Schizosaccharomyces pombe: one gene and its partners. The gene in region 1 interacts genetically with each later gene. Each region holds a gene or a part of one and is shown on either strand. Other genes may lie near its edges.

The links.
Region 2: of pub1 (region 1) and ura4, a mutation in one rescues a mutant of the other (synthetic rescue), as found in Schizosaccharomyces pombe (2 studies listed by BioGRID).
Region 3: mutations in pub1 (region 1) and rec12 together harm fitness more than expected from each alone (negative genetic interaction), as found in Schizosaccharomyces pombe (2 studies listed by BioGRID).

Annotation. Positions count from the first base shown.
Region 1 is NC_003424.3:3,961,382-3,965,137, reverse strand, and holds the start of pub1 (HECT-type ubiquitin-protein ligase E3 Pub1), read right to left. Parts: upstream 2,073-3,756; 5' UTR 1,816-2,072; coding exon 1,799-1,815; intron 1,748-1,798; coding exon 1,725-1,747; intron 1,674-1,724; coding exon 1,529-1,673; intron 1,387-1,528; coding exon 1-1,386. Other genes in the region: protein Mtl2, read right to left, coding at 3,630-3,756. UniProt on the Schizosaccharomyces pombe protein: E3 ubiquitin-protein ligase which accepts ubiquitin from an E2 ubiquitin-conjugating enzyme in the form of a thioester and then directly transfers the ubiquitin to targeted substrates. Regulates ubiquitination of cdc25.
Region 2 is NC_003421.2:114,983-118,580, reverse strand, and holds ura4 (orotidine 5'-phosphate decarboxylase Ura4), read left to right. Parts: upstream 1-1,955; 5' UTR 1,956-2,005; coding exon 2,006-2,800; 3' UTR 2,801-2,992; downstream 2,993-3,598. Other genes in the region: thioredoxin-related chaperone Pmp20, read left to right, coding at 1-158; protein new25, read left to right, coding at 734-1,003; protein tam14, read right to left, coding at 3,325-3,398, 3,465-3,597.
Region 3 is NC_003424.3:1,770,787-1,774,542, reverse strand, and holds rec12 (DNA topoisomerase type II (DSB-forming) Rec12/Spo11), read right to left. Parts: upstream 1,619-3,756; coding exon 1,338-1,618; exon of another isoform or gene 1,280-1,337; coding exon 1,171-1,279; exon of another isoform or gene 1,121-1,170; coding exon 1,043-1,120; exon of another isoform or gene 979-1,042; coding exon 850-978; exon of another isoform or gene 781-849; coding exon 340-780; downstream 1-339. Other genes in the region: UBA/TPR/DNAJ domain protein Ucp7, read right to left, coding at 1-285; protein hua1, read right to left, coding at 3,678-3,756. UniProt on the Schizosaccharomyces pombe protein: Required for formation of the double-strand breaks (DSBs) that initiate meiotic recombination. Required for crossover recombination and chiasmatic segregation of chromosomes during meiosis I.

The DNA of each region.
Region 1 (3,756 bases):
AAAAAGGCATCAACAAACCGACGATGGAAAATTGCGAGACCAATGACTCGGCCTATGAACTTGAAATAGTTCAAATGCTCTGGATTAATGCCAGAATGAGGATTAATTTGAAGCGTATAATTATCAACCGAAGAGTATTCAAATAAACAATAAAAGGGGTTGAACATTTCATGTGATAACAAAAAGAAGTATTCACGGGATAATCCACCGTAATCCAAACCATCTTCACCATCAAACTTAATCATCAAACGTTTTTTCAAATCGGTTGCAGATTGTCTCATAATTTCCGCATACGAATCTTCAAAGATATGATTTCTACGCACTTTAATGTGGCACTGCCCTGGCAAAGGATGCAAAGCTGGTTGCGAAAGGAAATAAATCAACTTTCTACGGAAATCACGTTTGTATTGAGGAACGTTTTGATCTAACGACGAAGGTAAACGAGGATCATCCCAAGTGGTAGTCTTGGTATTGTGATCAACAAAATATACACGAGCAGTATTGGTAAGACGCATTTCCCAACCACTTGGCAAAGGACCAAGTTGAGAGACAGGTTGTTGCTGAATAGTAGCATTATTAGGACCGCCATAGGAACGAATGTACTGTTGACGGCGCGGATCCACCCAAGTAGTAGTTCGCGTATTATGATCCACAAAGTAGGGTCGACCCTCTGGTGTATACCTTTGCTCCCATCCCGGTGGAAGCTCTCCTGAACCAGCAGTAGTAGCGTTAGAGGTCAAAACACTAGCTTCTGTACGACGAGCTGCATTGCTAGAGGAAGGTTGAACACCTTCGGTAACATTCGCAGACGATGCACTACTATGCAATTCGGCTGCGGCTGCTCCGGCAACAGAACTTAGGTTGGGGCGAATCCACGTTGTGCTTCTTGTATTATGATCTACATAATAAGTTCGGCCAAGATTATCGGTACGTCTTTCCCATCCAGGAGGAAGGCGCCCATATTGATCTTCAAATGAACTAAATGTGCGAGGTTCTGAACTAGCAGGGGAAGCAGCAGGTGCGTTGTCGCGGGTAGGTGAACCAGCACGAGAGGAAGCAGGGTTACGAGACACACTGCTACTTTGTGAGCTTTGCGGGTCATTGGTAATGCTAGTACGTTGGGTACGTGCACCTGATGCTGCACTGGATGGAACCTGTAAGGTTGACTGCGCAGTCGTTGATAAGTTTATGATTATCTTGCCATGAACTACTGTATTCTCATTTGACTTTTTCAAATCGCGGGTCAACATTTCATCACCTCCAATGGCGAGATCGAGCACATCTCCAACACGAAGATTTATCACTCCTAGAAAGCCTTGGCCTTTTTTCTTAAATTTTTTCTGATCGAACACCTGAATCGCAATGGTGCTATTATCTGTAACATTACTAAAGAATTGTTAGAAACATTGTTTTTAATCAAAAAGTTAACATTAGCTAAATTATAAGGGATAAACTGGAAGAAACCCCAACTAAAATTGATATACATAAAAGTTACTTGGAAAGGTCAAAACCTGGGATATACACTTACACTTCAAAAGTCTCATTCCAATAAGGGTTTAACGTCTTTTTGATAGCAGTTGTGGTATGTGTTTGCTCACCATCCACTGTTAGTACCGCAAACGGGTCAGGAAAACGAAACACATCTCGTTTGTAAAGGCCATCAGCAGCAACAACTATTTTGGGTCAGCGTTTGCACAGGGCATTTGAATAATGTCATCACATACTTGTTACTCGAATTCGACGAGATCTAATCATAAAAGTTAGCAAATGTGTTTATAGCAGTTAAAGAACTACTTACTGAGCTGAGTTTGACATAGGGGGAAAAGATGGTAAAATTTCAAACCAGCGTTGCTTTTGGATAATAAAAAAAAGCCAATTTCCCAAAGAAAGTCAAGTATTTGTGCTTGCAAAAAAAACTTTCAATTAAGGCCGTTTTATCCTTTCTATTTGATACAAAAACGCTTTTTTCGGGAACGAAATAAATAAAAAAGAACTACAAAAGGAATCCTTAATCAAATTCGTGCTTTCAGCGCACAATTTTGAAATCCGTCGGATTTCGCGTGGTGTTGGCTGAAAGGAGAATTAATCGGTCTTGCAGATTAGATCCTTAACGCATTATAACCCATTTCCTTATATATATACAACGCGATTACCAAATTGTTCTTTATCTTTTTTGGCGTACAGAAAATACGTTTTACGTGTTAACTACGAAAGTAAATATCATGCAGCACAATGTATGATTTGCAAGCTATAAGCATTTAATAAATTGATTTAATACGAAAGAATGAGGAAAATGTATATCTAACCACTTTGCGTTCAAGTGATAGTTAGAACTGAGAAGAAAGAGAGGAAACGAAGAATTGTAAAAGGTACATACAAGAAGGCAAACGGAGTGCCGCGAATAAAAGTAATAAAGCCAGAACTTAGCAACAACTCTTAAACAGACAATGCTCAAAATTTTTATTTTTTAATTATCAGTAGTCGAGCATGCTGGCCAAAACAAAGTTAAGTAAACATCCAGCCACACGAGAGAAAGTAGAGCTAGATGGTCCTCAACATGACGAAAGAGTAAGAGCGATAAGTGCAGCGAAGGGAACGTGACGCTCCATTACATATACGAGACGGTGAAAAAGGAACGGAAGGAAAAGAAAAGGAAAAAGTACAGTATGTACATTTATTTCAAAGAAATGAGATAACGAGATTGGTTAGGCGACTGAAAGTAAAATTGAAATGGCTGGTCATAAAGACTATTTGCTATCCACTTTCAATAACAAGAAACCATGGGATGGAAAACAGGTAGCTGTTAAAAGTTTCATTTCGTTTTACACTATTCAGGAAAATTGGCTTTCCGTCGCATTTGACAAGAATTCGCCATTCTGTAAAGAAATGTACAAATGAAAAAACAAAGCGAAACGGCGAATGAAACAGAAATGATTGATAAGTAATGAAATGCAAATGAGAAAAGGATAAGAATAAACAAACCAAAGAGACTTTTTTAAGGGTTGTATCTCACTACAGTGAAACAATTGAAAGAAAAATTCAAAAGTCAGTCAAAAGATGAAGTCGATTTAAAAGCAATAAGTTAAGGAACCAGATGACATATTTAAGACTTTGAATGAAATGCAAGCAACGAAATTTTCTTAAAAAAAGAGGGCCATGAGAAAAAGCAAATAGTTAAGTTTAAAAAGAAAGTTTGAAAGAAGGATAAATAGTTTGCTAAATAACTCCTTTTTTAAAGAAAGTAAACCGACGGACCAATTGATTGTATGAGATGGTATAAGCGAAACCCATAATAATAACAAAGCTTTGCAATGAGAATGTGAATTTCTAATACCATAAAACTGTTCAAGCAAAAAGGAAATGAGTGAGTAACGGTAAAACAAAGAGATAGCAATAAGATTGAAAAGATCGATTACTTAAGATTTTCGTAAAAAACAAAGGTAAAAGCCGAATAAAGAAAAAGTTGTTATACGAAAAAGTGATGAGCAAGCTTTTCTTCGCAAGACTTTCTACCATCAATTGAAGGCAAGCGTAACTAACGCATTTATTTTAAGCGACGGATATATCCAGAAATTGTAAACAAATAATTTTTGCTTAAATCTATCGCAACAAGTGTTTAAGCGCATACTTTAAAACAGGTTCAACCTGCGAGCTTCCGATGACGACCGAGGAATAGAAACGTTGCTACTTGATGGGTTGTCAGCAAAAGGTGAATAATTGGGCTGGTTAGAAGCACCAGTGCTTGTTGGGGAAAGA
Region 2 (3,598 bases), on another chromosome or scaffold:
TTGATGCTGGCTTCGACGCTAGCGGTCTTTTGGGCCCTCTTCGCTCCAAGCGTTATGCCGCTGTTGTCGAGAATGGCAAGGTTGTCAAGGTTTTCATTGAGAACGAGGTCACCGATGTTGATATTTCCTCCGCTGACAAGGTCCTTAGCTCTCTTTAAATCTGATGAACTGTTGTACTAATTGTTTTGATGGGAATGTTTTTTTCCTTTAATGAACGAAACTTAGAATCAAAAAGATAAGCTCCTTATTTAAGGGCGTTTGAAATGATGGAGATAAAGCACTCCATATTTGAGTTTTTTTTGTCATTGTGATGATATATGTTTAGATTTATGAAATTTTATACACAATTATCTTAACAACTCATTGTTTGAGTACTAGTACAATTCTTTATAAGAAAGTAGATATGCTTAAAAAATTAATGTCAAGTAAAACGTTGAATCGATTACAATAAGTTTTCGTAACACGATTGAAAATCGGTAGAAGTTGAAATGGATATTCTAAGTGGTGGTATCAAAATAATGACTAGAAAGATGTAAGCACACCTTCAATGTATCATAATCAATGTCAGATGAATTTGGGTAATGAAAAACGTTGGCCACAGTTGGGGGCGTCTTCCTCTAGATGCTCGTCTTCTACAACCGTTCTTTACCTCAACCTTTAAATTTTCAAAATCTCCTTTTTAATAACAGTTTTCATTTTTGGGTTCTTTTTACTCATTTGTATTTCATCTTCGATGAAAATAGCTAATGTCTTAACTTTATCGTTTGCTGCAATTATTGCTGCTTCTTCCCTGGCGGTTGTAGTTAGTCCTATCACAGACAATTCCAGGGAGACAGCTTCATCCTCCATTTCTCAAAGTCCTCCTAGTCAATGGTCAAAAAAACAGTTAATTGAGTATTGTAAAAAAAATTCACTTAAAACTAGCGGATCTCATGAAGAATTGGTTATCCGTGTGCAAAATCATCTTCGTACCGCCTCTAAAAAAGTTGATGCCAGACCGTAATGACAAAACAGCTTGTATAGATTTTAATATGTTTTCGATGCTTACATAATGAGTGAGTGTCATTATTGAGGAATGCCATGTCAGATTTGACACAACTCAGAACTTATTAACTTTTTATGATTGGAACTTTTGTTTTGCCCAAGGAATTTTTAATGGAAGAAGTTGTTTTATAAATGATATTGAATTTATATCCACTCTTTTTAGCGCATTTGCATCTCTACTTTAGGTTCTTCTTTGACTAGATTCTAGGATGCGTATTGGATATACTGGTCTTTGAATCATTGTCGAAAAAAAAATTCATGGTTGTACCCATGAGCAAACTGCTTTTGTGGTTATCCATGTGCTTCTTTTGTTCAGCATCTATCTTCTTAATCGCATGGAAGATTTGATTTAAACCAAAAGAAATATTGTTAAACTTTGACAGAAGCTTTAAATTTTGATTCCATACATTAAATGGATAAAACTCCTGAAGCTTAGCTACAAATCCCACTGGCTATATGTATGCATTTGTGTTAAAAAAGTTTGTATAGATTATTTAATCTACTCAGCATTCTTTCTCTAAATAGGAATTTGTTACTTAATGGAGAAAAAAATGTTTCGATTTACCTAGTGTATTTGTTTGTATACTCACGTTTAATTTCAAACATCCATTCTATCTTGTGTAATTTTTGGCATGGTGAAAAAGATAATCAGCCTTATAATCTTTACAAAAGTAAGAAATTCTGTAAATAAGCCTTAATGCCCTTGCTTTAAATTAAAATGGTTCTTTTTCATGATAATGTTTGCACTTTGTGAATATATTTTAGATAGTTCTGTGAGGTATAATTAAGATGTTTTAGAGACTTATACAATTTTGTCTTTATAAATTCTTAATTGATTTTACCATCCCAGTTTAACTATGCTTCGTCGGCATCTCTGCACATGTCGTGTTTTCTTACCGTATTGTCCTACCAAGAACCTCTTTTTTGCTTGGATCGAAATTAAAGGTTTAAAAGCAAAGTTATGGATGCTAGAGTATTTCAAAGCTATTCAGCTAGAGCTGAGGGGATGAAAAATCCCATTGCCAAGGAATTGTTGGCTTTGATGGAAGAAAAGCAAAGCAACTTGTCAGTCGCGGTCGATTTGACGAAGAAATCCGAAATCTTAGAATTGGTAGATAAAATTGGACCCTATGTCTGTGTTATCAAGACACATATTGACGTTGTCGAGGATTTCGACCAGGATATGGTAGAAAAACTGGTGGCCTTAGGTAAAAAGCATCGTTTTCTTATCTTTGAGGATCGCAAATTCGCAGACATTGGAAATACCGTCAAGCTACAATATGCATCTGGTGTGTACAAAATTGCTTCTTGGGCTCATATCACAAATTGCCATACAGTGCCAGGCGAGGGTATTATACAAGGCCTCAAAGAAGTTGGTTTACCTTTGGGACGTGGTCTCTTGCTTTTGGCTGAAATGTCTTCCAAAGGCTCTTTGGCTACTGGTTCCTACACAGAGAAAACCTTAGAATGGTTTGAGAAGCATACCGATTTTTGCTTTGGCTTTATAGCTGGTCGTCGATTTCCTAACCTTCAAAGCGACTACATAACTATGTCCCCTGGTATCGGCTTGGATGTTAAAGGAGACGGGCTGGGACAGCAATATCGTACTCCTGAAGAAGTGATTGTAAACTGCGGTAGCGATATCATCATTGTTGGTCGTGGAGTCTATGGAGCTGGTCGTAATCCTGTTGTCGAAGCCAAGAGATATAGAGAAGCTGGTTGGAAGGCATATCAGCAAAGACTTTCTCAGCATTAAAAAAAGACTAATGTAAAATTTTTTTGGTTGGTTATTGAAAAAGTCGATGCCTTGTTTGCGTTTGTTTTCCTAGGCGTTTTATGTCAGAAGGCATTTAGAATTAGTATACAAGTACTCTTTGGTAAAATTTTATGTAGCGACTAAAATATTAACTATTATAGATAAACACCTTGGGAATAAAAAGTAATTTGCTATAGTAATTTATTAAACATGCTCCTACAACATTACCACAATCTTTTCTCTTGGATTGACATTGAATAAGAAAAGAGTGAATTTTTTTAGACTTGTAATGATAACTATGTACAAAGCCAATGAAAGATGTATGTAGATGAATGTAAAATACCATGTAGACAAACAAGATAAAACTTGGTTATAAACATTGGTGTTGGAACAGAATAAATTAGATGTCAAAAAGTTTCGTCAATATCACAAGCTTTATTATTCAAAACTAGTATACTTTTTCTCGGAGTATAATACACAATATCGGTGCAAATAGGTTTTAAAATTGCTCCAATCACATGTTCTTAAGAAAAAAACGTCAAAAGAAATCTAAGTATTCCCAAAATAATTCCTCCTGACATGAGAAGAATAAAAAACACTAAGATGCATTGTCAGTATGAAACACAAGCCAAAGTTGCTAACAATAGGATCAATTCTTACTTACTGGCAATGTTACGAGGAATCTTGGTAGGAGGATGTTTGGCAACATAACGTTCTTTTGAATTTGTTTTTACACGACGAGTAATGTTCTTCTGAAACTGTGTGTTTGCACGACGCTGAGAGGGAGTTTGAACCGTC
Region 3 (3,756 bases), 2.2 Mb from region 1:
AAAGGGATCGTAATTTGAAGATTTGGGGGTGGAATTGGAGTCCGGAGTTCCAACTTTCTGCCTTTCTAGTTCTTTTAAGGAAATTTTATTATCCGTTTTCTTTTGAAATAAATTAGCAAAAGGGTCTTCGGGCTTTGATGCTTTCAATGGAATTTGTGCATTCTTTTTCTGGGCTACTGGGGCGGGAAGGGAGTAGGATGGCGTTCTACTATTATTATTACTGTAATTATTTTGATTAGATGGTGTAGATTTATCGTAAAAATTGAAATCTAGCAAGTCATCCATGTTGGAGGCTTTATTATGGGAGTGTAGTGAAAGTAGGTTGAACTATCCAAGAACTTAACGTACTGAGTGCTTTCCACTTTTGTCGGCATCAGCTAATTTTCCTTTGATCCATGAAGGAAATTCTAGAATTGCTTGTATTTCCGCTTTTTTCTGGATAAACAGCATTCGCTGTAGCTGTTCACGAACAACGGGCTCCTTTTGGAAGCCTTCAAATTGTAATAATGTTGTAATCATTTTAATATCCCTTTTATTCAATTTTAAAGAGAATTCTTGGTTTTTATTAAAAATGTCCTCATACAGAGGGCCTAAAAGCTGTAAATTTCGTAATTGACTGTGCGGTTCATGACTGTAGGCATTAGAACCGTACTTGAAACAGGAATAAATGCATAAGCCATGGGGGTCCCAATCAAAAATACCAAAAAATTTAGCATCCGGGAGGGCTTTGGCTAATTTAACTAAAAATTTTCTCGTCATCAAATCTGGAAATCCTTTAGCCTGTTACAAGCAATTAGTTAGCTAGCACTCTAACATCAATATCATTGAAAAGGAAGCATTCTCACTTACTGTAACAATTATTGTATCCGCTAAAGCCTCTTCGGTTAGCGTTTGGAATACCGCTTCCTTTTCGATGACCAAGACCCATTTTGCTGTGGAAGTGATTGATGAAATTCGATGGTGAGAGATTAATAATGGCTGTATTTAGTAAAATTCTTAGTTAGAAAAAACAATTTTTACGGTTATTAAAACTTGAACCTACTTTAGTAGCAGTAATTACTGTCCCGTTTTCAAGAGCAATATGAATGGACCCAAATACCAATCCTTTAGCAGATGCTTCCTAAGATCAAATTAATCGTTAATGAATCTATTTCCAAAGAAATGACTTACAACGTTAAGGTCGGACCTGGAGCAACCAATGGTGTTTGAAATATCTCCAAGCAGCTCATCGACTACGGTTTGTCGCTTGAATAAATCTACATCTCTGTAATAAATATCTCTGCAAATGTAATTAGAACTTAAATCTGAATTTTCGGCGTATAGTACAAAGCAATTACCGCTTAGTGATTACTGTATCCGAAATAACAGCTTCATGAACACAATCTAAAACCCTGAATAGTTGAGCAATTGTTGTTTCATTCCTGGGGAATGAAAAAACCTTAACTTTTTGTCTTTCATTGGCCTTTGAATCTAAGCTGCCATTCCAAGAATTGTGCTTTCGTCTTTTCAAAGCAACATTTACTGAATCTTTGGTAGGCTTACTTAATTGCTCAACAAAATCATGAACAAATTGCTCAATCCATGATCTAACAACTTTTTTTTTATCATTCGAATTCATTTTTTTTACTTTCTGGACGCGTTCAGCATTCTTTGCATTGTCTAGATAATTATGCAAAGCGCGTATGGTTACAGTGTAAAAAATCAATAGCTTAATTCAAATAAGCTATATCTAAGCGAGATTGTTTTCTGAAGAAATGATACATACATTCAATAAATGGGTAATATCAAGGCGAAACAGTATATGTGTTTTCGTTAACTGCTAAAAAATACTTACTGAAGACTTTCCTTCTGATAAAATGGTGTAAGAGAAGACTCACGCGAGCTTTGCGGACTGAATTGGTAAATCGTAAAGATGGATCGAAATTTGAAATTCCTAAACAACTTATGTTCTTGTCTACAGAAAAGTTGAAAGAAAAGTAAATATATTTGAACTCTTTCGAGTTCAAATGCAACATACGACAACTAAGAGCCATAGATCAAGCGGTTACTTAATTTATTTCTATAGTTTTAATTTTCTATAAAAATATGTATATCAACTGTTTCAATAAATATTGTACTTATAATTTCGTTTTGCCAACTCCTTTGTCAAGAGAGAAAACGTAATTAAAAAACATGGTCACAGCCAGGTTCGAACTGGCGACATTCGACTTATTAGATCGACATGATAACCGACTACATCATGCGACCAACTGTTAACTTGATGATTATTTAAACCTATTTATAATAACATTAATGTTAAAAATATGAATGAAACTGACCTTTTTATACAAAAGGTATATATATAAACAAGAAGGACTTTCATTTTAATTTTGATAAGACAGTTTGAAATATCCTCCAATCCAATTTAAGATTGTTTCTAGTTTACAGATTTTCAAATCAGGAATTACTAAGTCATTTGCAACACTAAACATGAAGAAGTAGTCTAACTCACTATCTGCTCGATGTATATGTTAGCATATGCTTTCCTTGTGCCAGCCCTAAAGAGAAACTGACAGTGGTTTGCTTTTGCAAATGAAAAAATAAAATTGGAGAACATACAATTGTACGAAAATGCTACCTATCCAAATGGGTCTTTAACGAATTTTTTAAGCTTAAAAGTTGCCATATGTAGTGTGTTTGCTTGATTCATTAATAGTCATTTATTATGGTGCAATACTTCGTCAAGACAATAGTGATAGCTTTTTTAACTTATTGCGAGAACAGAAGATAGCAATTAATCTGATGTACAAATAACGATAATATTCTAATGACATCAATGGAAAACAATAATGAAAATAGGCACTCCATATTGCTTCCCGAAATTTGTACTTGTGGCATAGCAGATAAACAGGACGAACTAGATAAAAAATGAGCAAGGGTTTCTAAAGGAGAATAATTTCATCAAGTTTTTTTTTTTTGCTTCTTCTTAATAAGTATTTAATACTCAAGAAAACGTAGAAACAATTAGGCAACAATAGCACTGTGGTTTACAGTTACCCTTTCTTATACAGAAAAGATAGAGGTTATGACAACTGTTAAAACATGGAATTTTGCATGATGAACCGGTATTACTTTTGTAAGTTAATACAATAACAAAAAGATAAAAGTTAATAGAAAATTTAGGGAAAAAGAAGTGCAAAGCTCTGAGAATCATTCCGATATACTTAGACAATAGTAAAATAAATAAATACTTAGAACACGGACGGATTTTGCAATTTTAAGAATTAGGAAGTCCCGTAGATATTATTTAGAAGAAATTTTCCAAAGCATAAACGAAGTAGATAAGGAAAGAGCATTTTTGGAAAACAAACTTAATGGTCAAAACTATGACCAAATTAAAAATTCACGAATTCATAAACAAACCCAAAAAACGAAGACATTTTCGATATGAGCAATAAGCATATAAAAGGGGCTCTATGATATGGGTTGGTGGGAAAGAATGCTTAAAAGGGATTGTCGTAAAACTGGTAAATTATAGAATGAATAAAATCGCAACATTCAAAAAATGTTTTAAAATTATTCAAATATTTAAATTGAGAAATGAGTCTTGTCGCTCATTTCAAATAAATAATAATTACAAGAGTATGTCATATATGAACAAGAACTTAATGGAGTATCAGTTTTGCTCAGCAGTTGATTTAGTAGGGAATTTTTCCAACACCATTGCATACCGGGCAAATTTCGGTAAAGAATATAAAGTCAAGTTGACCACTGCCT